Tamandua tetradactyla: one gene and its partners. The protein of the gene in region 3 purifies or fractionates together with the protein of the main gene of each other region. This does not show direct contact. Links are inferred from orthologs where the notes say so. Each region holds a gene or a part of one and is shown on either strand. Other genes may lie near its edges.

Region 1 (7,779 bases), on a different chromosome or scaffold from region 3:
ATTTTAGTCTTTTCCCCCCTATTTTTTCTATACCCCTTATCACTCCCTTTCATTCATCACTAGCATTTCAATCTACTAAATTTGTTTTAATATTTGTTCCCCCCAATATTTATTTATTTTTAATCCACATATTTTACTCATCTGTCCATACCGTAAATAAAAGGAGCATCACACACAAGGTTTTCACAATCACACAGTCACATTGCAAATGCTATATCATTATACAATCATCTTCAAGAAACATGGCTACTGGAACACAGCTCTACATTTTCAGGCACTTCCTTCCAGCTTCTCCATTACATCTTGACTAACAAGGTGATATCTATTTAATGAGTAAGAATAACCTCCAGGATAACTTCTTGACTCTGTTTGGAATCTCTCAGCCATTGACACTTCGTCTCATTTCACTCTTCCCCCTTTTGGTCAAGAAGGTTTTCTCAATCCCTTGATGCTAAATTCCAGCTCAGTCTAGGATTTCTGCCAGGAAGGTTTATACCCCTGGGAGTCATGTCCCACGTAGAGAAGGGGAGAGCAGTTAGTTTGCTTGTCATGTTGGCCGAGAGAGAGGCCACGTCTATCTTAGCTCACTATTGACCCTTCTTATTTGGTTGGCTGAGTTCCAGAGTTTGCTGTTATTCTTTCAGGTGAAAGGATGTATCTAGATGCCTACCTGTCCTCATTGTCAAGGACAAAGAATGGGGGTGGGGAGGGCTAGGAGCTAGGCAGGGGCCTCATGGGTCCAATGTAAACCTAAATGGAACAGGAGTAGTTCAAGGGTGCAAGAGGGGTAAATTGATTCCTAAGAGTTTGACTTAGCTTCTCTTCCTTCCAATCCAAAATTTAATTTCTGAGCAGGAAGAGGAGCTTGCAAAATCTCCCATGGGTTGAAATTAATTGCTAGCATTAAATACATGTGGTTCTCCCACAGTCCTATTTGATGAGAGGTTGGTGAGAGCAACAGCCCCCTGGCCTTGCCAGATGTGATGTTTCCACTCCTGGACCAATGATCCTGAACCAGACAGGGATTCCTGAAAGCTAAGCATGAGATCCAGAGCTCAATCTGTCTGCATCAGCAAGATTGGATGTTTTGGGGGAAGCCATACCATGTGACCAGATGGCCTGTCAGAGCTTAGCCACCCTACACTTTGGATGGGGTGAGCTTTAGTGGTAGGGGTCCTATGTTTTGACCATCCAGGTTCTAGGATGGTGGGTTTCTGATGTGTCATTGCAGGACTGTGTCTTTCTCAGTCTTTGCCACTGACCAAGCCCCAACATTTCCAGTCTGAGAAACAAGGTCCATGTGATATGAGGTGGAAGTAGGAGTATCCTGACAGAAGATATGTATTCTCCTTCCAGCTCAACCCTGGAACTTTTGTGTGCCCTTAGGAAAGTAAATCTTAATTTCCTCACTAGTTAAATGATTCTGGAATTCCATCTGAGCAGTAGAGTGCTGGTAAATGTTTAACATCAGGCTCCCATGAAAAAATCCTGATTCGTAATGCTAGCCAATTTATGTGGTGTAAATATTCCCAAAATGTCTGATTTCAAGCTACCAATGTGATGTCAACCACTGCACAAAATGAGAATTAAAGTCACTTAGAGCCAGTATGAGCCAGTTCCAAGAAATTACTGCATCCAACTCTCACTACCTGTTTGCAGGCCTTGAACCTGAGTCAATGGACACATCACCCCAATTCTAGCGGGTCCTAGGCAAGGAAAGATGGAGACTCCGGAGTCCCTGTGATCATGGGGTGTTATACTGAGGCAGCCCCCAAGGGCCTAATGGTGAGACATTGGATGCCTTTTCACCTTTAATCTCAGTCTCAGGAGGTTCGTCATCATCCATGGCGCCAGGGACCTCTCAGGAGCTGCTGCCAGGTTCTTGCCACTTTTTTGCTGCTACTCTGAGAAGCACACCTGCCCATTCATCTCTGGCTTAAAGTTTGTACATCCTGCCCTTGCACAGGCAAATTCCAGGAAGGATTATAGTTATCCTTCCAACCCAGCAAGCCCTGGGGAGAGTGGGCTTTGGAAGGAATGGGACATGCATGGATTTGGCCCCAACTCTGTTTGGGAGAGGAGGCTACTTCTTCTACTCATCAGGGAAAGTAGTACAGCTCTATTACTGGGAGTCCTGTCAAAAGGATGCTGACCCACCTGCGACTTTGTGACTTCAGAGCTACTTTCATTTCATCTTCAACATTCCATGACCTCATGCAGTCATTGTGATCTACGTGGGTAGACCTGGCAACAGCAGGCCTCCCACCCTCTTGGTGACTCTGGCAGTCATCTTTTCTCATATGTTCACTGGGGCCAAGCTCAGGCTTGGCTGCGAGTGCTCAGGTGCTGTAGGGAGGCCTCTCGGTGGTGTTGTATTTCCCTCTGAGTCAGGACCAAACCCAAGCCCCTTAATCTGGTGATTGTGAAGAGCTGCCACCATGTTCTTCTCTCAAGGTGGCTGTGCTTCAGGTACGAGGTATTTCAGTGATGGGTGAAGTCAGGTTTCTCCAACCCAGTTCTTCTGCCTTTTTTCGTCCCCTCTTGGGAGAGTGCCCTCAACTTTAGAGAATATCAAAAGCAAAGCACTACAAACATATGTTTATCACTACAGTTTTCTTGCAGCCAAATCATTGTTCAATCCAACTACTGGACTGCCTAACTTGAAACCACTCAGCCATCGTTCCCACGCTTAGCCATTTTCACATGTCTTGGAGCTGAAGTTTAGTTGCAGTTTACTGCCAAGAGAATCCGGAGGCGTGTTTGTCCCTTCTTGATAAACTTTCAACACATCAATGGTCAGGTCAGTGACTGGAGGGCTTGGGGACATAAAAATCCCTTCTTGCACTCAGAAGAATGATGAAGTTTGGGAAATCGTGTAGAGAAAACATAGTTAGAAACATGGATGGAAAGAAATTTGTAAATCTGAGATATTACTCGTTGCAAAACACTACGCAAGGCACAATGAGGGGGATGCAAACATGACTAAGACATTGTCCCTTATGTACAATATAAGTTAGAAATCAACAGGGTTTGAGGGCCCTGCCTGGGTGAATAATTTTGGCAGAACCTCTGCTCATATAAACAATTTGAGTCACCCCAGATTAGAGTGGCAACACCATTCTGGCAGCCCAATCTCATGTGGCCCTTCAAAAAGAAACACTGGACAGACAGAAGGAGTTATCAATTCCTAAAATGACTCCATAAACAGAATCCTGGAGATCCTCAGAGCATCTGGTCAACCCCATGCTGGTGTAGAGGATGAGAGAGAAACTTTAGGGGGAGTAAAAGAGACCAAGGAACATGGGGGTCTTGGTTTAGGCTCCAGCTACTCTGCCTGATGGCACTGTTGGCTTCTTCTGGTCCCAGCTACAGAGGGGTGAGTTAGAAAATTTGGAGGAAGTCACTTCAAAGAGCTGCTGCCAGAGGCACTGTTGCCTGGGACTGCGATCGATATTGGACATTGATAAAGGTAATGAGGGAGAAGTTCTGGGAGTGCAGGGGAGAATGAGGCTTCTCCCTGCTGGGGAGCATCCATGTAGATAAGTAGAGTCTGGGGGAAAGGCATTTTTGGGATGAAGGAAGGCAGCAGAGTCATAAGAAGTCAAGGTGGGTTTTGGAGAGTGCAGGGTATGAAGGAGAATGGGGAGAGGGAAGTCCATGAGGGCCAGAGCAAACTCAGGGACAGTTTCAAATGCAATCAAAAGGCAATAGGATGTTGGAGACCCAGGTTGGACTCCCGGTGCCTGCCCATGCCAGCAACAAAAAAGCAATAGGGATCCATTAAGCAGAGCTATTTTTAGAATTTTTGCACATGCGTCAATTCTGGAAGAAAATGTTCAAAAACCATCATTTAGGAAACAAATCTTTTTTTCAAATTAAAAAACAGGAACCAAAAAATGTAAACTGGCAATATATTATTTTAATTTCTTCATTGCTGAATTGTTTAATTTCTTCATTTTTTGAATTAAACTTTGTTTTTTAAAATAATTTTAGACTTTCGGAAGAATTACAAAAATAGCAGAGAATTCCTGTATACCTTTACCCAGCTTACCCTTATGTTAACATCGTACATAACAATAGAATAATGATCAAAACTAAGAAATTGACACTGATACAATATTATTAACTGAACTACAGACTTCATTTGTCTTTTACCAGCTTTTACACTAATGTCCACTTTTTGTTCCAGCATCCAATCTAGGGTCCCACATTTAAATCACATATCCATAGTCTACTCAATCTGTGAGATCTCCTCAATGTGTCTTTCATGACATTAACACCTTGGAAGATTACTGGTCAGGTATTTTGTAGAATGTCCCTCATCTTGGGCTTGAGATTGTGTTATGGGGAAGTATACCACAGACATGATGTACTCTTTTCAGGGCATCATATTAGGGGCATAAAATCTTTTTTTTTTTAAATATTTTTATTGATAAAACTTAACATACAAACATTTCATACATGATGTACAGTCAATAGCTCAAAATATCATCACATAGTTATGTATTTATCATCATGATCATTTTCTGAACATTTGCATCACTCCAGAAAAAGAAATAAAAAAGAAAAAACTCATACATAGCATACCCCATACCCTTCCCTGTAATTGACCACTAGTATTCCCATCTACCCAGTTTATTTTAACCTTTGTCCCCCTATTATTTATTTTTATGCATATTTTTTACTCATCTATCCATACTTTAGATAAACGAAGCATCAGACACAGGGTTTTCACAATCATACAGTCACATTGTAAAAGCTGTATCATTATACAATCATCTTCATGAAACAAGGCTACTGGAACACAGCTCTACAGTTTCAGGTACTTACCTTTAGTCACTTCAGTATACTATAAACTAAAAAGGGATTTCTATATAATGCATAGAATAACCTCCAGGATAACCCCTCGACTCTGTTTGAAATCTCTCAGCCATTGAAACTTTATTTTGTCTCATTTCTCTCTTCTCCCTTTTAGTCAAGAAGGTTTTCTCAATCTCTTGATGCCAGGTTCCCACTCATCCCGGGATTTCTGTCCCGCTTTGCCAAAGAGATTTACACCCCTGGGAGTCATGTACCACATAAGTGTGGGAGGGCAGTGAGTTCAGTTGATGGATCAGCTTAGAAAGTGAGGCCACATATGAGCAACAAAACAGGTTCTGTAGGGGTGACTCTTGGGCCTAATTTTAAGTAAGCTTAGCCTATCCTTTGCAGGAATAAAGTTTCATTGGGGTGAACCCCAAGATTCAGGGCTCAGCCTATTGATTTGGTTGTCCCCACTGCTTGAGAGAATGTCAGAAATTCTCCAAATGGGGAAGTTGACTATTTTCCCTTTCTCTAGGGCATAAAATCTTGATATATATTAGAATTCATCACTTGGTCAGGGTGATGTCAGCCAGGTTTACCCACTATAAAGACGCTGTTTTTCATCTTGTATTTAATAAATGTTTGGTGGGGGAGGGGAGGGATATTTTAAGATTATGTATCTTTATTTCTGCTTAAACTTTCATTCACTAATTTTAGCATCCATCATTGGGTCTTGCCTCAGCAATTACTATTGTGGTGTTCTCAGGATGTTTTCTATTTCTCACAATTCTTCTGCATTTATTAATTGGAATTTGTCTATGAGAGAGTCTTCCCTCTTTTTCGTTTATTTATTCAATTGTTTATATCAGTAGGGACTCACTGATATTTGACAAACTATTTTTATTTATTTTGTTGTCCAGGTTCCAACAGTGGTCCTTGGGAGCTCTTTTGTGTTGGCTCCTATGCTCCTTTAACATTTTGCCATTAAGAAAAAAATTTTTAATTTTTAATTTTAACATTTGTTCCCCCTATTATTTATTTATTTTTAATCCATATGTTTTACTCGTCTGTCTATAAGGTAGATAAAAGGAGCATCAGACACAAGATATTCACAAACACACAGTCACATTGCGAAAGTTATTACATTATACAATCATCTTCAAGAAATATGGCTACTGGAACACAGCTCTACATTTTCAGGCAGTTCCCTTAAGCCTCTCTATTACACCTTAACTAAACAGGTGATATCTATTCAATGCATAAGAATAACCTCCAGGATAACCTCTCAGCTCTGTTTGGAATCTCTCAGCCATTGACACTTAATCTTGCCTCATTTTGTTCTTCCCCCTTTTGGTTGAGAAGGTTTTCTCAATCCCTTGATGCTGAGTCTCAGCTCATTCCAGTATTTCTGTCCCACGTTACCAGGAAGGTCCACACTCCTGGGAGTCATGTCCCATGTAGAGAGGAGGAGGGCAGTGAGTTTGCTTGTTGTGTTGGCTGAGAGAGGCCACATCTGAGCAATGACAGGTTTTCTTGGGGGTGACTATTTTTTTAATTTTTTAAAAAGTACCAAAAAACACCAAGCACAAACATTCTTAACTTTTGATCATTCCATTCTACATATATAATCAGTTATTCACAATATCATCACATAGTTGCATATTCATCATCAGGATCATTTCTTGGAATATTTGCATCTATTCAGAAAAAGAAATAAAAGGAAAACAGAAAAAAGTTCATACATACCATACCCCTTACCCCTCCCTTTCATTGATCATACATCCCATTCACCTTTCATTGATCACTAGCATTTCAATCTAAACTTATTTTAACATTTGTTCCCTGTATTATTTATTTTTATTCCATATGTTTTACTCGTCTGTTGATAAGGTAGATAAAAGGAGCATCAGACACAAGGTTTTCACAATCACACAGTCCATTGTGAAAGCTATATCATTATACAATCATCTTCAAGAAACATGGCTACTGGAACACAGCTATGCATTTTCAGGCAGTTTCCTCCAGCCTCTCCATTACATCTTGACTAACAAGGTGATATCTATTTAATGCGTAAGAATAACCTCCAGGATAACCTCTTGACTCTGTTTGGAATCTCTCAGCCATTGACACTTTATTTTGTCTCATTTCACTCTTCCCTCTTTTGGTTGAGAAGGTTTTCTCAATACCTTGATGCTGAGTCTCAGCTCATTCTAGGATTTCTGTCCCACATTGCCAGGAAGGTCCACACCTCTGGGAGTCATGTCCCACATAGACAGGGGGAGGGCGGTGAGTTTTGTTGTTGTTTGGCTGGAGAAAGAGGCCACATTTGAGCAACAAAAGAGGTTCTCTTGGGGGTGACTCTTAGGCCTAATTTTAAGTAGGCTTGACCTATCCTTTTTGGGGTTAAGTTTCATATGAACACGTCCCAAGATTGGGGGCTCAGCCTGTTGCTTTGGTTGTTCCAACTTGTTTGTGGGAATATCAAGAATTCAACTTTGAGAAGCTGAATTTTCCTCCTTTGTCACTGTTCTTGGGGATGACTCTTAGGGCTAATTTTAAGTAGGCTTAGCTTATTCTTTGCAGGGTTAAGCTTCATATGAACAAACCCCAAGATTGGGGGCACAGACTATTGCTTTGGTTGTCCCCACTGCTTGTGAGAATATCAAGAATTCTCCACTTGGGGAAGTTGAATTTTCCCCCTTTCTCACCATTCCTCCAAGGGGATTTTTAGGCACCATTTATTGAAGAGACTGTTCTGTCCCAGGAGAGTTGGCTTGACTGCTGTATCAAAGATCAATTGTCCATAGATGAGAGGGTCTACATCTGAATACTCTATTCGATTCTGTTGGTCAGTATATCTATTTTTATGCCAGTACCATGCTGTTTTGACCACTGTGGCTTCATAATATGCCTTAAAGTCAGGTAGCGTGAGATCTCCAACTTTGTTTTTCTTTCTCAGAATATTTTTAGCTATTT
Region 2 (7,741 bases), on a different chromosome or scaffold from region 3:
ATATATACAAAAAGCAATAAATAAAGTTTGGTATGGGTTACAGTTCCACGATTTTTCATTTTTTCTTCTAGCTGCTCCAAGACACTGGAGACCAACAGAAATATCAATATAATGATTCATATTCATTTGTTAAATCCTATCTTCACTTTTATACTCCTCCTTCTCTTTAACTAACATACATTCATAAAAGCAATAAATTTCTAAGTACATCACAGCAATTAGTTGTAGAACAGATTTAGGAGTTTGGTATGGGCCACTAATTCCACAATTTTAGGTTTTTATTTCTTAGCTGCTGTAAGGTACTGGAGGCTAAAAGAAACATCAGTATAATGATTCAGCACTCATACTTGTTTGTTAAACCCAAACCATTTTAATTATTTTTAAGTATACAATTCATTGACATTAATCATATTTACAATATTTTGCTACTATCGTCATCATCCATTACCAAACTTTGTCATCACCCAAAAGAGAAACTCCATACCCTTTAAATAATAACCCCCCAGTCTCCCTCCACCCAGTCCCTGGTAACCTCTGATCTGTTTTCTGTCTCTATGAATTTGCTTATTCTTGACATGCCATAGAAGTGGAATCATTCAGTATTTGTCCTTTGTGTCTCAGTTATTTCACTTAGCATAATGTTTTCATGGTTCATCCATATTGTAGCATGTATCCATAGATAATTCCTTTTATGGCTAAATAATATTCCATTGTATGTGTATACAACGTTTTATTCATCCATTCATCTGTGGATAGACACTTGCATTGTTTCCACCTTTTGCCTGTCATAGATAATGTTACATGAACACTACTGTAAAGTATCTGTTTAAGTACCTGCTTTAAATGCTTTGGGGTATATACCAAGAAATGAAATTTCCAGGTCATGTAGTAAATCTAAATTTAACTCTTTTGAGGAACCACCAAACTGTCCTCCATGGTGGCTGCGCATTCCCATCAGCAATGCACAAAGGTTCCAATTTCTCCACATCCTCACACTTATTTTTCATGTTTTAAACTAATAATCACCCTAGTGTGTGTGGAGTGGTTCTCCTTAGCTATTTAAATGTTAGCATGTTCTAGGAGTCTTTTACTTTTCCTCCTAGAATCTCCCTCTTGGAAGGCTTACCAATTCCATGATTTTAACTCATTTCTAAGCGGATGACATACTGCTTCAAATAGTATGGCTGTGCAACAAGTCATCCCCAAACTTAGTGGCTTAAAACAATGACACACATATATTTTGCTCATGAATCTACAGTTTGGAGGCTGAGCAGAGATCGTTTGTCTCTGTTCTGATCCATATCTGCTGGGGCAGCTTCAAGCTGGGACTGGGAATTGGAAGGCTCACTCAGGCATAATTGTGGTGGTTGATGCTGGCTCTTGGATAACATCTCAGCTGGTGCTGTCACCCAGAGCTCCTACAGGAAGCCTCTTCATATGGCTTGGGCTTCCTCACAGCATGGTGACTGAGTTCCTAAAACGAATGTCCCAAGAGAGGAAACCAGGTGGAAGCTGTAACCTTTTTTAAACCTAGTTTGAGTCATATAAAATCACTTTCACCTTACTCTCTTGGTGAAAACCCGTCACAAGCCCCTGCCCAAATTCAACAGAAGTGTCTTAGTTTCTTAGAACAACTGTAACAAGGTACTACAAACTGGTTGACTTAAAAGAAGAAAAATGTATTGCCTCACAGTTCTGGGGGCTAGAAGTCTGAAATGTGAGGTGGAGAATCCTTCCTTAACTCTTCCTGGCTTCTGGTGCTTTGCTGGCAATTCATGGGCTTAAATCTCTGCCTCAGTTGTCACATGCCATTCCCCCTGTAGTATGTCTGTCTTATAAATGCATCAGTCATAAGAATTAAAGGCCCACCCTACTCCAATATCACCGCATTTTAACTTGCCTAATTCCATTTGTAATGACCTTATTTCTAGATAATGTCACATTTTGAGGTACTGGGGAATAGGAGTTCAACATAGCTTTTTGGAGGATGCAATTCAACCAGTAACAGGAAGGGAACAAAGACACCACCTCTCAGAAGGAAGAGTATTCAGATTTGGAAAAGTAACTGGCATTGCAAATAGTGTAGTGATCATTTCTGGAAAACACAGTCTGCCACATGTACAAGTCTATGTCATCAACACTGCTTTCTCCTAAATTCTGATCCTACATTACCAGTTTCCACCCAAATATTTTCATCAGAAGTTTCATCCCAACGTCATCTCCAAACTTAAATGTTCAACATTAACTTCATTCTTGCATTATCTGCTAAAGTAGGAGCTCTTTGATGGCAAGAACCATGTGGAATTAACCTATATACCCCTAATTTTGGTCTAAGTCCTGATATAGTGGGTGCTAAGTCAATATTTTCTGAAGGAAGGGATTTTCTCCAATAAACCTACTCTTCCCACGTTTTTCCCATTTAGGATAATGACCCCATCATTTTCCATGTCTCCCAGGCACGGAAACTTTTGACTCCTTCTCTCTATTCAATCAGATATCAAATTCGGTCAATCTTGCCTCCAAAATATCTTTCAAACTAGTCATACTCTTCTAAATCACAGCTGAAATTGCCATAGTTAAGGTCAGCAATATCTCCCCCTTGGCTACACTCCTTGCTGTACAAAGTACTGAGTGTTAGAAATGCAGAAACTTGGGTTCCACCCCAGACTTACTGAATAAGAATTTGCATTTTAGGCATATTATAATTTGAGAACCATCGTTAACAGTTTCCCCTACCTCTATCAAATGAATCTCACATTCAATGTATATCAGAACCACCTGGAGAGCTATATAGCCCACAGGAGCCCAATCTCTTGGAGTAAGAGCCTGGACCTGTGTATGGTTATCAAGTTCCACAGATGACTGTAATAAGAGACAAAGTTTAGGCACCATTTATCTAGTCACTAGTCTAGTCCACACCAATTAAATAAGCGTATTTGGAGGTTGAGCCCCAGCAATTTACCAGACAGCAGACCTAAGTATACAAGGACAACTAGAGAACCTTTCCAAAGTTTAAGTAAAGCGAAAATGTGACTTTATGAGGAAGCTTGCCTGGTTTTATTTCATTCTATTTCATCTTTATCTTCGACATTTTAGTACTGTCGGAACCAGAGGCCAGCCGTTCCACCTGTATTTGAGGGAATTAAAGAACCAAAGCACTGACGGGGGATTGTAGCAATCCTAATATTGAAAGGGAACTCCAAGATGAAAGCAGGTCCTGGCCAGAATAGTCAGGACTAAGAAGTCCATCCTCACCCACTCACCTTGCCAGTTCCCCTAACTTTATTAAGGTAGGTGATAGGATTCCTTTCAGGCAGATGTTATTATTCCCATTATACCAGGAAGGAAACCAAGGCTCAGAAAAAAATCATAGATTTCCCAAAGTCACACAGCAAGGATCAGAGCTCCTTCCATCATATAGTAATGATAACAGGAACTCCCTAATAATAAGTACTGTATATCAGGGATGTGCTAAGAGCTTTATGAAGCATTATCTCATTTAATCTTCTCCCAAAGCGTTGACTTGGACATCTAATGGACATCTCAACGGTGACACATCCAAAAATGAACTCAGGATTAATTTTTACTCCATTCATAGCTCTCACTATTTCAACTGATGGTGACTTCTTCCTACTAGTTCCTCAGCACAAAAACTTTCACACCTCACGTAAAATTTCTCAGAAAATTCTGTTGAAGCCACCCTCCATCCTCAAAATATATGCAGAAGATGGCCACATCTCGCCATTTACACTGCCCTAGTCCCAGACGCTATCATCGCCTAGTTACCTAGTAGCCTCCAAACAGGTCTCCCTGCTCCTCCTCGCCCACCTTCCTCTGTTCCCTCAGTATATCCTTATCGAAGTAGCCAGAGTGATCCTTCTAAAACTAAGACTGATCATGCATAACCCTTCCTTGCTCAAAACCCTGCCATGGTTCCCCACCACACTCAGACTAAAAGTCTAGGTATTTACTGTGGCCCACCAAGTCCTTAATGATCTGCCTCTACCCTCTGCTCAGAGGTTCACCTCCTGCGGCTGTCCCCCATGACCTTAACAACAAATGGCCTCCTTATACACGCCCTGCCCACGCCTGCTTACCGCCTTTGCCCCAGCTGTTTCCTCTACCTGGATGGCTCCTTCGTTAGATACTGGTTACCTCCCTCACCTCCTTCAAGTCTTCATTCGAATCTCATATTCTCATTATAATTTACCCTGCCCTCTCCAATCCTGATTTGCCCTCACCTTCCTCTACTTTTTCCTTTCACAGGACTTGTCACCTTCTAACATTATATGGTTTACTTATTGTCTTTTCCCACTCGAATGTAAGCCCTTCAAGGACAAGGATCTTTGTTCTGTTCACTTACATAGCCCAAGCGCATAAAAGAGCACCTGCCTCATATTAGGCACATGAATTTTGAATGAAGCCACTTATATACCCATTTTCCATTTAAATTCGTGAAAATACAAATGGTGAGCATTCGGTCGCGCTCTGGCGCCATCTGGCGACACCTACGCAGACTCAGTTGTTTCTCTTGACCCAGCGCTCTCCCAAGTTTCTTCGGAACTATTTAGCTTAGTTCTCACCGCGTGCGCATCGGACGGAAAGCAAATGAGCACGCACTCCGGAAGAAATCATAAACACCAGGAAATTTTAGTGCTTCGTGGACAGCATCAGGAGCCAATAGGCACAAAGATCTCGCTCACGTGATCCATATTCAGCCTATCGAGGTCCTAATTTTCTACAACGCAGTCCTTTCCTGTCTCTTTTCTCAACAAGATGGCCACGCCGGCTGCACCCGGGAGTTCTCCGCCTGCCACTCCACCTCCGGCGCCGGCTACTACCCCGGCACCAACCCCATCTGCAGCTTCGGCTCCCGCTGCGGCTCCGGCTCTAGCTCCAGCATCGGTCCCGGCCCCATCATCCGATCCGGCGGCGGCAGCAGCTACGACCACAGCCACGGGGCAGACCCCGGGCTCAACGCAAGCCCCGGCGCAGACTGCCGCGCCCGCGTTGCCTGGTCCGGCCCTCCCGGGGCCTTTCCCTGGCGGCCGCGTGGTCAGGCTGCACCCGGTCATTTTGGCCTCCATCGTGGACAGCTACGAGCGTCGCAACGAGGGCGCGGCCCGAGTTATCGGGACCTTGCTGGGTGAGTGATGAGAGGAAATTGAGATTGAATTCAATTTCTCTTGTCTACCACCGCCTATTTATCTCGCCCCCACTCAATTAACCCTTTTATCCCTGATGTCCTGCCTTCTTCATTCCCTGGCCTCTTGCCTCCCCCTCTTCTCACTACAATGACTTGACCTTTTGCTTCTCCGACCCACCTTTTTTCTGCTACTTATCTTCCCAGAGAGTTTGACTCTCTTTCCTGCCGGCTTGCTGTCACTTTGGGCGACAAATAATGAGTAGTTATCACTTACTGAATAAATATTGTGGGGCAGGTGGCTTACATTTTAACTGTCCAACAGTATTTCACTTCAGGTCTGATTAGCTCCAGTCTACCAGAAATGAGTTCAGTTGCCGATTCTAGGAAGCGGCTAGCTTGGAACTAGAACCCTGAGCGTAGTGACCGCGTTCTTCCGCCTTCCGGTAAATGTCTCTATCTTCTAGGTGTATACAAAGGAGTTGGCAAAAGAGCTGGACGTCTTTAAAAAGAGATCTGTCCCAACAAGTTAACCAATTTGGCTGGAATCCGTTTAAGATTTTATACTATTCTGCTTTCCTAAACTTCTGAGCTTGATCCTGTGTTCCTAAATTTCCAATAATACTAGTTCCTGAAGTGGTAGACCCTGTATCCCCGGTGCTGCCTTTAATCCTCCATTTGGACACAGACAGTTTTATTATTTGTGGGATGTTCGGCTTGAATCTTAAAACTGAAGAAGAATCTTTTCCCTGTCCATGTTTCACTTTTATTTGGGGAATAGGTATTTTTCTTTAAAGTAGTTTTAAAGAAGCGAAAAGCACCAAAGGGCAGAGAGGGATTGTTAATAATAAATCCTTTTCTCTGGGCCCCTCAGATACATTTCCACTCCATCTAGTTGTGCGTTTTAGACATCTTTGTGTGTCCACACCCCCATCTCATGGATCATTTCTTTTTCTTACTCTTAGACATGTCCTTACACTCTAGAAGATAATTGGTGTATTACAAATAGGACAAAATTTATAACTAGACTCCACATATTAGCCATGTGCCTTGGGGAAAATTACCTAGCTTTTTTCAGTGGCTACTTCAGACTTAGTCTTTCTGAGAACTAAATTATTACAGAAGTCACCTAACAGTGCTGGCACACATTAGATATGAAGCAGCAGTTAGTTACTGTCTTCTACCTGGTCAGGCCTATACGCATTCTCTTTTTCTCTCTCTCTCTCTTTGAGGGTACAACGATTGTATTTACAGGAACTACTTGATCCGTTACCTGTCAAACATTGCCATGACTTTTCTTAATCTAAGCTTCTGCATTCTATTTGCCACAAATGTCTTCCCTGTTCTGCCTCATCTTTTTTCTTTTTCTTTTTTATATTTCTTTATTTTGAGTGCCACCCATCTTCGAGGTTCCTAGGGAAAATGTCCAGTATCAATCCTCCATCCTATACCCCACCCTCATCTCAGTAGTAATCCCACTGAGTCTCATAGCATTCTGGAACTGTACCCTGCTCTATAACAAATGATTTTTCCATCACTGACTTGACACTTGACAGATACTTACTCTTTTAGCTATATTGTAAAATTTTCAGAACTCAATAGCGAATAGTTCTCCACCCAAGATTTATGCTTAGTGTCTCATATATTACAGTGACCCTAATTAGACCAGCTGTAATCTAGATTCTCAGATCCTATTTCAACCTGGGATTATAGGTATAGTACTATGTGTTACAGGAATAATGCTTATTGATAATTGACGCATAGATTCTGCCTGCTAGAAACTTACGGTTTTCTCAGGTAGGTTGTAAATAATGCATGAAACATATTTCATTTCGTTAAATGAAGTCACCTATGCTTCTTAAATACCAGAAACTGTTAGATACTTAGAATTTAAAATTGAGAAAATAAACCTTATACACGAGATGGAGATACTCTTATATATAAGTAATTAGAATATAATGTGATTATATATAAGTAATTAGAATATAATTTGATAAATGTTCCAGTAGAAAGGTATTCAAAGTGACGTGGAAGTCCATAAAACTATTTTGGAAGTTTGGGGAAAGCATCACAAAAAAGATGACATTTGAGCTGGGCATTAAAGCAGATGCAGGAAGTATAAAAAGTTCCACTAGCTGAGTGGTTCAGCATTAGAGGAATATAGAAGAAAAGATATACGACAGGAAATGAAGCTAGTGAGGTGTAGAGTCATAAGAGATATTAAATAATTACAAGTGTGCAAAGTGCTGTGAAGAAGGTTAGGAAATTATGGAAAGACAAAATGGCACCCTCATTAGGTTTGGGGGTACGTGGGGGAAGAACACCTTAACTGTGGCATTTCAGCTAAGACTAAATAGGAATTGATGATTCTGCCTGCTGTTTGTAGAGTGGATAACAGAGAAATAGGTTATTTGTGGACACCAGATAGAAGCTATTTTAATAATTTGGAAGTGGGGATGGAGAGGAGTGAGTGAGTTGATAGGACATGGTATGAATCAGAAATGAGGGATTAAAAAGAAAGTTTCAAGGATGACTTCTAGGTCTCTGATTGGGTGTGGAAGAGATGGGGGGAAATGTAAGGGTTGATTCAGTTTGGAA
Region 3 (7,867 bases):
CAACACTAGAATTTTTGAGGTAGTTATAAAGTCAAAACAACTTAGCGAACCATATCAAAATCACAAACTACCTTCATAGATTTATAAAAGTATCTGGCAACCAAGGCCTAGAACTGGTTCGAAACTGAGTGTCAATTGTTTTCTGGTTGCTAATGCCCCAAAATGTTGTCACTTAGGTGTCACATTCATGAAATGTCAGCTTGGACTCAGAAGCTTCGCTGGGCATGTGCCGGCAAACCCAAACTATGACAAAGATAATCACTCCTTTGAGGGGTAACTATCAACTCTCTGTCTCAGGATCTGCTCGGTTCAATTAAATTTAAAATGGTGCCTAAATTGAAAGGAAAGCCTAAAGAATGGGTAAATTAAGAACAGAATCAAATGGAAAATTTAATTTCCTGTAAGTTGTCTTAGAAATCTTCGATAATAAAGAGTAGAAAAAAACACACGGATCTAGGGCCATTCGCATTCGCTCAGGCGTGCGCATTGCACGAAAAGGATGAATGAATGGAAGGCAGGCGCGTGTGAAAGGCAGCAGGTCCCGCCGGCAATCAGACCAGCCGCAGCGATCTGTAGGCCTTGCTCCTCCCCCTTCCCTCCTCCATGACAGCCGAGACTTAAGCACTGAGGGGCGAGGACAATGTGAGCCCCCTTCTCACCACCTCCACCCCTCATTCCATCCGTAGGGCTTCACAGCACGACGCGGGGCTTTCCTCCCCACGCACACCTTTCTCTACTGCCTCGACGCCAAACTCGGCACTCTCTGGCGCGCTGAAGCAACATGCGCTCACCGCTCTCAGCTTCCCCCAGCGAGGTCGAAGATCCCCGCGCGTGCGAAGGCACCACTCCCGCCCACCCCTCCACCGACAACACGCGCCCCCTGGCTCCCCAGCCCACCCGTCTACGGAAGGAAAACTCTCGCACGTGCCCCATACCCGAGCCCCTGGGGAGGAACTCGGGAGGGAGGAAAAGGCTGGCCGGAGCTCCCTCCTCCATCACGTTCCAGGCCGGTTCTTCGCCCACCCTCCCTACAGATTCTGGCGCCCGCCCTAAGCCAGCCCCGCGCCCTCCTATTCGAAAGAAACAGTATCCACACACCTAGCCCAGGGTCCGGAACACCCTCTACCCCTGCAGACAACTCGCGGCTCCGCAAGAGGCACCGCGCCGCCCCTCCCCCGTTTTTCTTCCCCAGTTCCCCGGCCCCCACTAGAACGTGTGAGCGACACGCTGCCGCGGCCAGCCTCCGGGGCGCCCCCAGTTACCGGCGGGCAGGTTAAGCCCAAGAGGAGGGGGAGGGGGTGGTAAAGGGTAGCGTGCGCGCCGGGAACGACATCCCGCGGGGTCCCCCTGTCCGAAGGGAGCCAGAGCGCGGGGACCTGTGGGGGTGGGGGCCAAAAGCGATACTCACCGGTTCCACAGTCGCCATCTTAGATCGATCTGATCGCACAACCGCTCCTGAAGGGGAGGGGGGGGTGAGAGGAAAAAAATTAAATTCAAACCGGATTGGCTGGCTACTGCCACGTGACAGACGTGTCCGTTTGGCCCTGGCGGCGCCTGCGCAAGACTGCGGCTGCGTGAGTATCGAGAGGCTTCTGGGAAGTGGAGTCTCCTTTTTTTTTTTTTTTTTAAGGGCAAAGAAGTTTTTTAAAAAAAAAGTCTGGTCACGTGGTCGATGGATAGGGTGCGCAGTTTTCCGCGCGGCTGACACTCTCTTGCCGGAGGGTGGTTTTCAGTCCTCTGCTCTTCCGCCTGGATGTCTGCAGTCGCACTTACTGCCCGGCATGCCTACTGTGCCCTTCGTCGCCCTATCCTCCCATCTTCCCCTGTAGGCTGGGAACTGCAGGCTCAGCACGCACAATAAGGCTTCATTTGCTTAGTTGGAAGTCCTAGGACAAGTAGCCTATGTATTTATTTAGCTTTCTTTTGACTTCCCACCACCATTTTCTCTTTTAGTTTCAAAAAGAGACGGTGATGGACGGAGAATCTGTGTTTAAGCAATCGATCCTCCCCCGTCCCCCAGCTCTGCTATTGCCGGTGGTCACTCATGGCCTTCGTTGCGAGAGGAGTTGGACTGAACCGCCCACAGTACCCACTTGCCACCGTTGGGGGTGAGGGGGAGTGGACCCGAATGCGTTTTCTGACCCAAATCCTGAGATTAAACCTCTGGGCCAAAACTTGCTTGGAAGTAAAACTTATTTGGCAGCTCTGTCCTCTCGGTTCCACTATCCTCCTTTAAAGTGAACGGAAATAACCTAAGTCCAGGTGCCAGCCAGGGAAGCCACTCTGGGCCCCGCTGACTAAGCCCTGGACTGACCGTCAGGAGTCGTTAGGCCGGGTCAACTATGACTCTTGACGTTGACTCATTCTCCTTAGGCGAGTGACTTAATCATTCAGTACCTCGGTTTTTTCATTTATGAGCCACGGGTTCATACACTTACCTCACAAGGGTGTGCTGTGGTAATGACAGTAACCTGCTTTGAAAATGCATTGGACACTATAAATGTTTCGTAGGCAACTGCGTGCCTTTAAGGATCAGCTGTTTCTCTGCTGTTGTTTAAAACCATGTTTTTATTTTTACTTTTGTATACTTTGTTACATTATGATGTACATCAGTGCAACTTTAAAATTTCCAGACTTTTTTTCTATATAATTGTCGCTACCTTCATTAGAGGCGTTAATGTTCAGGAAAATACTGCGATGTTCACAGCAGTCACTGCCAATTACGAATTTGTCCCCACACTAGCATCATACTTTTCGTTTCCCTCTAAGGTATTGTGCTAGCAAGCTGTCATTTCTCAAGACAGCCTTATCCTGCACAGCCGGGTTACTAACACACACACACAAATCTAGTAATATGCTAATATAAGGTTCTAATAAGGAAGATGCTATCTCATCATTGTTTCCCATGCTTAAGAATGGTAACCCCAGAAAAATTAGTACAAGCAGGCTGCCTGTGCCTACCTGCTTATTGTGCTGCCGATGTCCAAAGCTGTGTCACACCTATTATTGAGTACATAATGGATGCTTGGGTTGACTAACACATAATTGAGGTTGAACAAAAACTCAGTCATTGCATGTTAGTATGTTTGGTTTGCCTGGATGTCAGAGATGACCAGGTACACTTTTGTCTAGCTCTAGTAGATTCTAAAATACTTAGAATTCTAAAAAATGAAAGTAAATGGATTTCTCCTTACAGAGATTATGTACTGTTACTTAAACTATTCAAAGTGATTACAGTTGATGTCGGTGTTTTCTGTTGGTTAAAAGTAGTATCTGATTATCTTCTTTGAATAGATAGCTTAGATGTGCTATTTTTGCAATGATGCTAGATAACAGAGTAAAGAATCAAGGAAATAGGCAAGGAAATATCCACATGGCACAGAAAGCCATGATGTTCTTTAAAAACGTTTTTACGCTTTTTTTCTTTCTTTTTTTAACGTGGGCAGGCACCGGAAGCGGACCCGCGTCTCCAGCATGGCGGGCGAAAACTCTGCCACTGCACCACCATTGCCCTAAAAATGTTTTTAACAATGGCTTACATAAATTTTTATCTTGATCACAAAACTCTCCGCTCTTGTCAGTCATCCTAGTACTTTTATAATACTTATGTATGCTATCAGAGCTTCATTTCACTCCCTTTTACACATGCCTTGTTGCGTATGTTTTATGGAAACTTCATGTGTCTTTCCTTAATTATTGTCATTATGTTCTGCCATGTCAAAGATTTGGTGATTAGGTCTTTATTTTGTTTTGTTTTTTTTGTTTTTGTATGCTGTATGGTGGGGATCACATCTTATTCTTTTTCCATGTGAGTATCCCCTTCTTGCAGCGCCATTTGTTGAATTTTTCTTTGTTGGCTTTTCCTTTGTTTGCTTGCTTGCTTGTTTGAGAAGTACATGGGCCAGGAATTGAACCTGGGTCTCCGGCATGGCAGTGGAGAATTCTACCACTGAACCACACTTGCACCCCCTGGTGATTAGGTTTTTATGTGTGTATGTGGTTATTTTGTTTTGTTTTGTTTCCAATTTGAAATATACATAGAAGACGGCTTATATACTTTATTCCTCTATTAAACCACACAAATAGATTGTATTTGTTACCTTACTACCACATCCCTTATCTTTATGGAAAAGAATGGTTAATGAAAAGTTTAATTTATGAAATAGGGTAAGGTATTGAAGTTCTCTTCTCTTTGATCAAGCTATCTAGTTTATAGGTAACTACCTTTGACTCATCATAATATCATGGTACTTCCTATTTATAAGTCTGGGATGATTGATTATCATCTTTAAATATAAAGCACTTTTCTCAACTTAATATATTCCTCACACTGGTATATTGTCTTTATAGATTAACTCATGGGACATGATTTTAAATAATTTGACAAAACATATAACTTGTTTTTATTATGTAATTACCTCTTTGCCATTCTAATGTTGATTAGATCTGGCAGATAACCAAAGTCATTGTTTTGCTGGGCTTTTCTACCATGTTCAAATTGATCTGATCTGCTATGATATATTTCTAAACAATATTGCTATTGTGCTAGCCATGATTTTTTTTTTAAGACAGTCTTTGAAATTTTAGATATTGTTTAGGTTAGGGGACTTTGTCTCTGATCAGTTTTAAGCAACCCTTTTTTCTTAAGATGAGAGGATTTTGAGACAGAAGATGTGAGATTGCGTAATAAGGTAAGTGATCTATAGTAGCTTAATGTTTGGCCAGAGTTTTAGATATAATCTAAAACAATCCCTAGTCAATACTAATCTGATATCCTTTCTTTTTTAACCTTGTTCAGACTTTTTTGTTGTTGTTCATTCTTTTGTTAAAACTTGGATATACTTGTACTTGATGTCATACTCTATTTTTGTACAGTATTTTTGTTATTTTCACTTTCTACAGTGATTTTCTTTTAGAAAAGCTCTAAGATGATGGCCTGTAATAAAATAAATATCCTTTAACTTATAATTGTATAGTTTAGTGGTTAACAACATAAGTTTAGTATCAAACTATCTCAGTTCGTAACCCCAAGTCCACCACTTAGCATGTGACTGTGAGCAGGTTACTTAGACTCTCTGTGCCTCATGTTTGTCATGTATTAGATGGGCATAATAATTTATGTTGTGTGGCTAATGTGAAAAATAAATGAGTTAATCCACGCAGTGGGCTTAGAATGGTTCTTAGAACATAGTACGATGTTCATTCAATTTTACCTATCATTAGGTATTAACATAGATTCTTATCTCTACTTTTTACTACAGTGGAGTATTTTTAAGAATTCTTTTCTCAGAGAACCAAACTCAGCCCAGTATTTTTGAAGATACTCCAAACTTCCAAATATTCGAAGTCAACTAACATTTATTGATCTCCTATAACATACCAAGTATCTTCCATATTAATTACTTCATTTGACCTTTATAACAATTACATGAATTAAATATCATCATCCCCGTTTTATGGATAAACAGACTCAGTAAAGTTGTCCGAGTCCACATTAGCCAAAGAGTAAACTGGAATTCAAGCCCAATCTCTCCAAGATTCGCTTTTTCCTCATACCATAGCTACTTCCCTCTGATAGGACCTCCCAAATTCTTGTTTCTCCTCAAATGATTTCTAATTCTAAGTTCATTTTCAGAAATGACAGGAAACTATTTAAGAAGTACTGAAGTACTCATGGCAAATATGTAGTAACCAAAGGATATTTAAAGGACACAGGAAGCAGGCACTTCCCTCCTGAACTGTAAAATTTGGTTGGCATATAAGTCATAGAAATATAAATAGTTCTGTCACCATATAAAGACGTGTGACTAAGAGCCAAAATGATGCAGCAAACAAGCACCATAACAAGCACCCATTCACATATTGAGACATTCTCATATTTTCTCACCTAGTTTCGTTTGGGTTTCTGTTCACATACCATCTCCTGAGCAAAGCTTTTCCTTGGCCGCCTTTATCTAAATTAGCATCCCTGGCACTCTCTGTCCCCTTACCTGGCTTTATATTTCTTCAGAAATATAGAATCCTTCAAAATTCTGGTGACAAACCTGATATTATATTAAATATCAATTCATTGTTGGTGGTCTCCACTACTAAAATATTAGCTTCTTGGTGATTGTAGGTAGATTGCAAATAAATATTTGGGAAAAACACAAATCTTATCAAACTAAGGTCAAGCCTCAGGACTAATAATTAATAGGAAAATTGCTTTAGTCAGGCACTATTCTAAGCATTTACATGCATTTATGGTACTTCATTTTGTCTTCAAAACAACACTCAAATGTGAGTGTTCTAATTTTTCAGATAAGGAGAACAAGGCTTAGAAAGGTTAAAAAAACTTGCTCAAGACCACTCAACTAGTAAAAGGAGAACCAGATTATGAACACAGTTCTTTCTTCAGGGCTCTCAATCATTATGTAACATTAACTAGATTGTAATTGGATAGCCTAATAAAGATCAATGTCTGAAATAATAGAGTAATTAATTATCATCAAAGAGAATGTGAAAAATTAATGTAAGTATATGTTTGGACCAATGATAAAGGACTTCCAAAATGAATTCATTTACCTTATTAAAATCAAAATTAAGAAAAAAATTGAAATGTGTAAGATAAGATCACTCATCTTTAGAAATAAGCCACAAGATTGTAAACACCCAAAATTCATTAGAGATTGGGTGTTACTCCAGGGAGTCACGACTGGATTTCGATTGCTACATAGATGAGTAAGTGCCTGTGTTGTGCTTTTGTTTAAAGAAAGAAATGTGTTAATGAGTGGGAGTTGGCCTGCTTACCATCCATAAAAGAGGAATCCAGAATGACTATATTTGATGATGTATCTCTAGAATCGTTGAGGGGGCAGAGTGTGAATTTCTCATCCATCGATCCTTATTTGAGGTGGTTGTTTGAGGACACCAATCATTAAAGCCATATTACTAATTCACCTCATTTTATTGCAGACTCACCAAGCAACCATATGATAAATGTATCTTCCCACCATTTTTTAAAAACTTTTTGTTGTATATACAAATCAAAATTTCCCATTTTAACCATTTTCAAAACTACAATTTGGTGGTATTAATTACATTCACAATATAGTACTACCATCATCAACATCCATTGCAGCAACTTCTCCATGACCACAAACTGAAACGCTGCCCTCATTAAGCAATAAAAACTCTTTGCCCTCTGTGCCAGTTTGAAAGGATTATAACCCAATAAAAGCCATATTTTAATCCTGATCCATTTTGTGGAGACAGCCGCTTCTTTTAATCCCTATTCAGCACTGTAGGTTGGGAACTTGAATAGATTATTTTCACTGAGATGTGATGCACTGAATTGTGGGTATTAACCTTTAATTAGAAGGAGATGTAACTCTAACCATTCCAGGGGGGGTCTTGATTACTTTACTGGAATCCTTTAAAAGAGGAAATATTTTGGAAAAAGCTTCAGAGAGCCACAGAACCTTGAGAGCCTACGCGGCCAGAGACCTTTGGAGATGAAGAAGGAATATGCTCCTGGAGGAGCTTCATGAAACAAGAAGACTGGAGAGAAGGCTAGCAGATGCTGTCATGTTCGCCATGTACCTTTCCAGTTGAGAGAGAAACCCTGAACTTCATTGGCCTTTCTTGAGTGAAGGTAACCTCTTGAAGGTAACCTCTTGTTTGGACATTTTCATGGCTTTAGAGCTATAAACTTGCAACTTAATAAATTCCCCCTTTTTAAAAGCCATTCCATTTCTGGTATATCGCATTCCAGTGGCGTGTAAACTAGAACACCCCCCATCCCCCAATCTGGTTATCTACTATCTGTCTCTATAAATTTGCTTATTCTAGGTATTTCATTTCAACAAAATCATACAATATTTGTCTT
Region 4 (7,826 bases), on a different chromosome or scaffold from region 3:
GCTATGACTATTTATTTTTCGAAGATTTGTAGATTTAACTCTTTTTGGCTGGTGGCTGAATTACCCACAGAATAAACATAGTACCATAACCCCATTGTTTTTTATTTTGAAGATGGAGAATGAAGGCCAACTAGCAATTTACTGTAAAAGCAGTAAGCAGAGGGAGTAATCATCTTAGTTATTCACTAATTGGAAGGGGATAGGAAGAAGAAAATCAAAGATGAGGGGGAAACATTTTATAAGAAAATAATATCCAGTTGTCTGTTTAGTTCTCTGATTGCTTAATCTTTCAAGACCCAAACATATCTTCTGAAGGCACATTTGGGTTTCAGATAATTACAACTATCTTTTTTTAGTACCCAAAGCCTGTCTTTGTCCTTGGAACATAGAAGAGCAGACTTTTTTTTTTTATAGCCTCTTAGCACCTGACTGAGTTCTTCATCAGAACATATGACAAGAATTATGACTGGGGGAGTAGATACAACATCAGTCCAGACCACAGAGGGAAAAATAGTTCTCTTCTTATAATTTTTTAAAATTGTGAAATAGAACATATATACCAAAACAAACAAAAAAAGCAATAATTTCCAAAGTGCATTTTAACAACTAGTTACAGAATAGATTTCAAAGTTTGGTATAGGTTACCATTCCACATTTTCAGGTTTTTTGTTCTAGCTGCTCCAAAACCCTGAAAGCTAAAAGAAATATCATTATAGTGATTCAGCAATCATACTCATTTTTTAAATCCTCTCTTCTCTAACTCCTCCTTCTCCCTTGATCCTACACCTAATCTATAGGGGTCTTTGGACTATAACTATTCTAACTTTTTCATGTTGAAAAGGGGTGTCAACAATACAGAATAGGAGAATGAAATTAGTTGATGTTCTAGAGAGGCTGGCTCCTCTAGGTTTCAGGACTTATCTGGCCTAGGAAACTCTGAAAGTTATAGGTTTCAGAGTAAACATAGTGCATGAAACTTGTTTGACTTAAGTATGACTTGACTTAGAGCCCTAGGTATTTGTTAGGATTAACGGGAATGCTGTTTGTTGGGGATTGGCAAACCATGGCAAATAGTAATACCTAGCTGAAGTTTGTATAAGAGTAGCTTCCAGAATAGCCTTTCAACTCCAACAAATAATTCTCAAACAGCTCTCCTCAAAGGGTTGTTTCCAGGTTTAATGCTGTTCTAGTTTGCCAGCTGCTGGAATGAAATATACCAGAAACGGAATGGCTTTTAAAAGGGGGAATTTAATAGGTTGCTAGTTTACAGTTCTAAGGCTGAGAAAATGTCCCAGTAAAAGCAAGTCTATAGAAATGCCCAGTCTAAGGCATCCAGGGAAAGATACCTTGATTCAAGAAGGCCAATGAAGTTTAGGGTTTCTCTCTCAAGTGGAATGGCACATGGTGAACACAATCAGGGTTCCTCTCTCATCTGGAAGGGCCCATGGTGAACATGGAATCATCTGTTAGCTTTTTCTCCTAGCTTCCTGTTTCATGAAGCTCACCGGGAGGCATTTTCCTTCTTTATCTCCAAAAGTCGCTGGCTAGTGGACTCTGCTTCTTGTGGCTATGTCGTTCTGCTCTCCTCTCTCTGAATCTCTTTCTCCAAAATGTCTCCTCTTTTATAGGATTCCAGTAAACTAATCAAGACCCACCCAAATGGGTGGAGACATGTGTCCAGCTAATCCAGCTTAACAACCACTCTTGATTAAATCACATCTCCAGGGGGATGATCTAATTACAGTTTCAAGCATACAGTTGTGAATAGGGATTAGAAGAAACTGCTGCCTTTACAAAATGGGATTAGGGTTAAAATATGGCTTTTCTAGGGTACATACATCATTTCAAACCAGCACAAATGTTCACGTGAAAATGTATGCAGACTTAACAAATAACTTAAATAAATTTCCCCTTTTTAAAATGAGGAAATAGTGCTTTTTACTTTATGTAAAATCATATTTATATTTCCCAGTTTTTATGCTGAAAAAATTCATATCTACAGAAAAGCTGAAACTACAGTTCAATGAGCAAATGTATACCATTCAACCAAATTCTGATATAATTTACAATACCAGTATCACACTGACAATTAACATTAATTTAATAATGTCATCTAAAATTCAATTCCTATTCAGATTTCCGTGCTATTCTCTCAAAATGTCTTTTATAGCTTAAAAAGATACCAAATCCAATCGAGTTTCATGAATTACATTTGGTTGTGTCTTTTTGTTCTCCTTTAACTTCTAAGTCTCACTTTTTTTTTTTACTAGTTTTCATTTCATAGACATTTAAAGAAGGACCATTTCATTAATATAATAGCTTCATTTTTTATTTGTCTAACTGTTTTCTCATGATTAAATTCAGGGCAAACATTTTTGGTGGACTATCACACAGTTTCTGGTGTGTATCTCTTACTACTTCCTGTCAGGAGGCACTTAACAGATTGTCCCAGCAATGGTGACACTAGGTTTGATCACTTGGTTAAGGTGGTGTTGGCCAGATCTCTGCATTGTAAAGGCTCACTTCCCTTTTCGTACTAAATAACTAAGCTGTTGGGGTAATACTATATGACTGTGAATATCCTTAGCCTCACAAAATTTCATCCAATGGTTTTGGTGTTCAATGATGATTTTTTTTCCTGAATGAATTTTCATATTTTATCATTTTTCTACATCTGGCATTCTCCCAGCTTTCCCATGCACTACCCCTTTCTTTCTCTTTGAGTATCACTATGGACTCAGGCATTATTATAGTCAGTGTTTTATAATCCATAATGTGCTTTTGAAACTTAAATCACCCCACATTTGGACACAGGAAGCCCCTTCAGGGTGATCTCTTTATTCTTTCTGTGGTTTGTGGCATAAAATAACTCTGGCACAAGATAACTCGGGCTCACCTTGTACTTTTCCTATTTCAGATCTAGAATCAGCCACTTCTCCAAGGACTTATATTCTGAAGAGGTCACATATCCACATATTCAAAAGACATATAGCATATTATCCCTCCTAGTTCACTCCTCCTCTGTAGACAACCAATATTATTAATTTTCGTGTATTCCTCCAGAGACAGTTTATATATAGAGCAAAGGCACACATACATTCTTACCCAATCCCAACTTTTTCACCCAAATGATAACATATTACACTTACTGAGCTTGTCTGCCCTTGTAGTTCTTATCTGTCCTCAGATTCTGAAGGACCCCACCACAAAAAGATTCGGAAGCATTAGGCCATGTCCCAAATGTTGCAGATAAGAAAACTAAAGCTCAGGGAGGATGACTGCCTCAAATAATCTCTGGAATTGGAATTTTCTTTCTTCGTTAGGCTCCATGTCTACTCAGCTTTCAAACTTCACTTTCTTGGGGAAAACTTTCTCTACCTTAACACCCCCTCCCCAAATTTAGTTTTTTAATAAGGTTTCAGTACACTTTGTAATGCTCCTTCCTAGCACATACGTAAGCCACCGTGTCAAGATTTATTTAGCGCCTCCGTAAGGGCAGGGAATACATTTGTTTCGTTTCTCGCCTGCCCACAGTAGGTACTCAACAAAAATGCAGGGGGTGAAACTCGAACCCAGGCAATCCAGCCTTCAAGGCAACTCTTCTTTCTACTACAGTCCCACTGCAACCAGAGAATTAGTTCTAATATGTAAATAAAAGCCTTCTCATGGGAAAAAGCTGGAAAATCTTTCCATTTCTACTATTAATGAAGGTTGGGAGGGGACCATAGCAGAAACTGCTCACCGCTAGGTGTGGCGACTGCAGGAGGGCTTCAATCAAGTAAATGCCCCCCTGCCCCGGAGGCGAGTAGAACCTCACAGAGTCAAAGCCACGTGGGCCAGCATCACAGCTTCAATGGAAAACACGTGCAAAACGGGGAGGGGGGCTGTGCACAGCTGTGGTCACCCAAGTCTGTGGGAGAGGAGACAAGGAGCAGCTCTCATCTAGTCAGAGAAGACTGAAGTGTCTCTGCGGCTCAGAAGACCCAGGCCTCTCCTGATTCCTGGCCGGGGGATCTACTGCTAGCTTCCAGCTGAGTCCGGGGCTCCCAAATAAAACAGGCCGGAACTGCCAAGGGCCCGGAGCACTTTAAATCTAGTCATCTTAGCCCGCTGGGACAGAACTAAGAGTCAAGGCTCTTTCTGGAGCAACCCCAGGAATCCTGGGCACACGCTCCAGCTAAGAGCTCCGGAGGCGCCGGGGACAACAGCCAGTGCCACACTTACTCCAGGGTGCGCGCCGTTCGGGAAGCCTACTTCTAGGCCTGCGACGGCGCAGCCCTGTCATTGGCCTCTATACCCGCTGGGCCCAACTCCGGCTGCCCGTCTCGTGGGGCCCGCCGGGGGATCGCTGTCGTCACCCTGGGCCAGGGCCTGGGTCAGAGCGCCAGAGTTGAGGCGGACGAACCTTCCAGCGAGGGTCAGGGCCGTTTGAGTCCGCGCTCTAGCCAGCTGCTTATCTCCTACCTCCCTCGACGGGAGTGAGCCCCGGGTTTCCCTCTAGGGCGACCCGGGCAGGGGTGTTAGGAGCCCTGAGAAGCGGTGGCAGCAGCTAGGTACCTGGACTCAGGGTCCAAGGAGCCCGAGAGCGGGCGCGCCCCTAGGGCGGAGAGCTCGGCCAGCGGGGGCGGGCCAGGGGTGGGCGGGAGGCTGCTCCCGGGGCCCCGCGCCATTGGCCGCGGGGCCCGGCGGCAGGAAGGGGCCAGTTAGCGCGGCCCCACCCCGCGGTCGGCGGAGCCTATCGCCGGGAGCGGCTAGCGTGGATAAATGTAGCGCCGCGGCGCCGGCGGGCAGCTCGCGGAGGGGCCGCAGCGCAGCGGAGCCATGCAGTACCCTCACCCCGGGCCGGCGGCGGCAGCGGGCGCCGTAGGGGTGCCGCTGTACGCGCCCACACCGCTGCTGCAGCCGGCGCACCCGACGCCGTTCTACATCGAGGACATCCTGGGCCGCGGGCCCGCAGCGCCCACCCCCACCCCCACCTTGCCGTCCCCCAACTCCTCCTTCACCAGCCTCGTGTCCTCCTACCGGACCCCGGTGTACGAGCCCACGCCGATTCACCCAGCCTTCTCGCACCACTCTGCCGCCGCGCTGGCCGCCGCCTACGCACCCGGCGGCTTCGGGGGCCCTCTGTACCCCTTCCCGCGGACCGTGAACGACTATACGCACGCCTTGCTCCGCCACGACCCCCTGGGTAAGGCGGCCGGGGTCACGGCGGGGCCGAGCTGGGGCGGCGGCGAGGAAGGCGCCACCCGGCAGGTGGCAGCGCCCGGGAGGCGGCGGGGACGGAGGGGGGTAGGCAATAGAAAGTTGTAGCAAAAGCGATTGAAAAGCGGCTCTCCGGTGCGCGCGGCAAGTGGAGGCGAAGGCCCGGGTAGCGCGCGGCCGGGACTGACCGCACGATGACTCAGATTGGTTTTCCTGCACCTTGCAGGCGTCGGGGCGCGCGGCCGAGGCGAGACCTCGGGCTCTGCTGACAGGGCGGGCGGCAGAGCATAACCCCGAGCCGCGCGTGTCGCCCCGGGTGGGGCTCCCTTTGTGAGAGGGACCGAAAAGGGGTTGCTGAGGCGCCCCGGGTCGGTCCCTGAGGGACAGAGATAGCTGCCAGGCCCGGTTGGTTACGGGACTGGACCTGGTTCAACAAGCTTGTGCAGTGAAAGAGCCTGACCCTTTACGTTCATACAGGAAATCTTGAGTTCTCGATAGGAGTAAATCTGGTTTCAGAAGCTGTTAAGTGTTTTCCTGGCTGCATGAAGCAGACCCTTCCCCCGGAGTAGTGCACGCTGCTGATTATTTTATCGACATCCTCAATACAGACAAATTCAGGAAACACTCGACTTCTGATAGCCGGGATCCGTTTTTCTGATATTGTTCATTTCCTCCGTGTGGGATGTGACTTTATGGCAGCTAAAATAACCAGTTGCTTCCTTTTTTTCCCCCGAGGCTGTTTTGCACCAGTCTGAAGCCTGACGCAAGCAAAATCTCGAAAAAACAATGCCAGCTTTCAAAGTGGTTAGCGGCAAACCGGCAGACAGACGGACTGACGCACTGACGGACAGACCTTTGGAGTAGGAAGCTGCAATCCCCGGGCCAAGATAGGAAGGGCAGCGCGGGCACGTTGGCCATATAGAATTTGCGGGGTTTGTTTCCCTCAGTTCCTTAAGCAAAGAGGCTGCCCAGTTCCGCGCCCCAGACTGGTCCTTGGGGTCTGAAGCTCTGGGGACGGATAAGGAAACTGGGCAACTGGCCTTACTTAGGGTTTAAAATCAACTCTGTGTTATTGGCAGCTTCAGTAGCGACCCTGGGGATAATTCACGTTAATTTAATAATGCCATTTTTATTATGGCGCGGCCTGTAGCTCCGTCTTCCACCTTCTCTCTCAACTTCAGAAAAATTTTCAGGGGATTATATTTTAGGGGGTTTTCTTCTTAAGTTATTATATTGTAATTTTGATTCGAGCCTCAAGGTTTGGTGCGGCAGCTCCGGACCGGGACAGTCAGCTGGGCTGGGCCTGGAGGGCGAACGATTGCACAGAGCGCGCTCTGGGTTTCCTTGGGTTACTGCTGGGGCTGCGCAGGAGGAAGCAAAGGGTTTTTCGAGATAGACCAACAGGAAACACATTGACGGAAATGTTGCCGTAACCCACGGGGTGGCTTTAACTGGCCATCCCCGCGGACTGAGCGTAAAATCAGAGGATGCCGCGGCTCCCTCGGGCCAGGATTGGAGGAACCTCGCATGGCCTAACGCGGGCGCCTGGCTTGAGAGCCCCCATCCCACCCGACCCCGCCCCGGCCCCGCGCGCACAGCCAAGTCTCGTGGTCCCAGGAGTCTCAGGCGACCGACCCCGGGCCACCAGTGCCTAGGGTAGTGTAACAGCCCACTCCTTCCCAACACGCGCACACCGGGAATTTGGAACGTGCTGCTCACCAAGGGAGAGGATCCGAGGATGCAAAAAGTTTTGTGAATAAATTTCAGTGTGACTGGTGAAAGAAGGTCAACAGTAGTGGGTGTTCTTTAGGGTGTTAAAAGATTTGTGTGTTTGTGTCTAGCTTAGGTGCGATGGTTGTATGTGAGTGTCTGTGAGTATACTGCACGGACTATGTGCGTATGCAATGTAGGTCTGTCACTTTGGGTAGATTATGTGCATACACAGTCTAGGTGTTTGTATTTGTGTGTGTGTATGTGGATATTCATGTGTATTGGCGGAAGCGAGTTGGGTTCATGTGTATGCTGTGGGTGTATGTAGACATGACTGGCTGGGTGTCCTCCTGCATCTCCTCCCCCTTTCTGCCACCCCTTACCCCCACCCCCAACCCCCTCCAGGCTAGATAGTTCTGGGGTCTGCAGGGAGCGCCAGGGCCGCTGTTAACCGCAGCTCTTCCTGTCCCCAGGCAAACCCCTGCTCTGGAGCCCCTTCTTACAAAGGCCGCTGCATAAAAGGAAAGGCGGCCAGGTGAGGTTCTCCAACGACCAGACCATCGAACTGGAGAAGAAATTTGAGAACCAGAAATACCTCTCTCCGCCCGAGAGGAAGCGTCTGGCTAAGATGCTACAGCTGAGCGAGAGGCAGGTGAGCACCCTGTAGGACCTTCTCTGGAAGGAGGCTCCTGGGGTGCGGGTCGCCGCGGGTCTGGAGTACCACGCGGAGCCACCACGGTGCGCTCTGACTCATCCCGACGGTCTGCCTAAACGCCTGGAGGGCTGGCAGGGTGGGTCTGCTCCACCGCCTCTAATCCTCTTCTGCCCTTCTCCCCCAGTCCCTCAGATTTCTGGGTCAGTGGCAAGTTTTCCCTCTTTCTTTCCTGTAGGTCAAAACCTGGTTTCAGAATCGA

The links.
Region 1: the proteins of EIF4E (region 3) and ANGEL1 purify together in Homo sapiens (affinity purification with mass spectrometry; 3 studies listed by BioGRID and IntAct, counting the BioPlex papers as one, with this or other methods). This does not show direct contact. The link is inferred for Tamandua tetradactyla from reciprocal best matches to the Homo sapiens genes EIF4E and ANGEL1.
Region 2: the proteins of EIF4E (region 3) and EIF3F purify together in Homo sapiens (affinity purification with mass spectrometry; 3 studies listed by BioGRID and IntAct, with this or other methods). This does not show direct contact. The link is inferred for Tamandua tetradactyla from reciprocal best matches to the Homo sapiens genes EIF4E and EIF3F.
Region 4: the proteins of EIF4E (region 3) and HHEX purify together in Homo sapiens (affinity purification with western blotting; 3 studies listed by BioGRID and IntAct, with this or other methods). This does not show direct contact. The link is inferred for Tamandua tetradactyla from reciprocal best matches to the Homo sapiens genes EIF4E and HHEX.

What each region holds. Positions count from the first base shown.
Region 1 is NC_135338.1:36,131,235-36,139,013, reverse strand, and holds the start of ANGEL1 (protein angel homolog 1), read left to right. Parts: upstream 1-4,761; 5' UTR 4,762-4,783; coding exon 4,784-4,822; intron 4,823-7,779. Other genes in the region: LRRC74A (leucine-rich repeat-containing protein 74A), read right to left, coding at 1,810-1,846.
Region 2 is NC_135334.1:82,118,174-82,125,914, forward strand, and holds the start of EIF3F (eukaryotic translation initiation factor 3 subunit F), read left to right. Parts: upstream 1-4,740; 5' UTR 4,741-4,776; coding exon 4,777-5,146; intron 5,147-5,450; exon of another isoform or gene 5,451-5,530; intron 5,531-7,741. UniProt on the Homo sapiens protein: Component of the eukaryotic translation initiation factor 3 (eIF-3) complex, which is required for several steps in the initiation of protein synthesis.
Region 3 is NC_135350.1:26,667,176-26,675,042, reverse strand, and holds the start of EIF4E (eukaryotic translation initiation factor 4E), read right to left. Parts: upstream 3,019-7,867; 5' UTR 2,962-3,018; intron 2,474-2,961; exon of another isoform or gene 2,439-2,473; intron 2,354-2,438; exon of another isoform or gene 1,456-2,353; 5' UTR 1,427-1,455; coding exon 1,409-1,426; intron 1-1,408. UniProt on the Homo sapiens protein: Acts in the cytoplasm to initiate and regulate protein synthesis and is required in the nucleus for export of a subset of mRNAs from the nucleus to the cytoplasm which promotes processes such as RNA capping, processing and splicing.
Region 4 is NC_135339.1:52,462,008-52,469,833, reverse strand, and holds the start of HHEX (hematopoietically-expressed homeobox protein HHEX), read left to right. Parts: upstream 1-4,821; coding exon 4,822-5,188; intron 5,189-7,385; coding exon 7,386-7,564; intron 7,565-7,802; coding exon 7,803-7,826. UniProt on the Homo sapiens protein: Recognizes the DNA sequence 5'-ATTAA-3'. Transcriptional repressor. Activator of WNT-mediated transcription in conjunction with CTNNB1.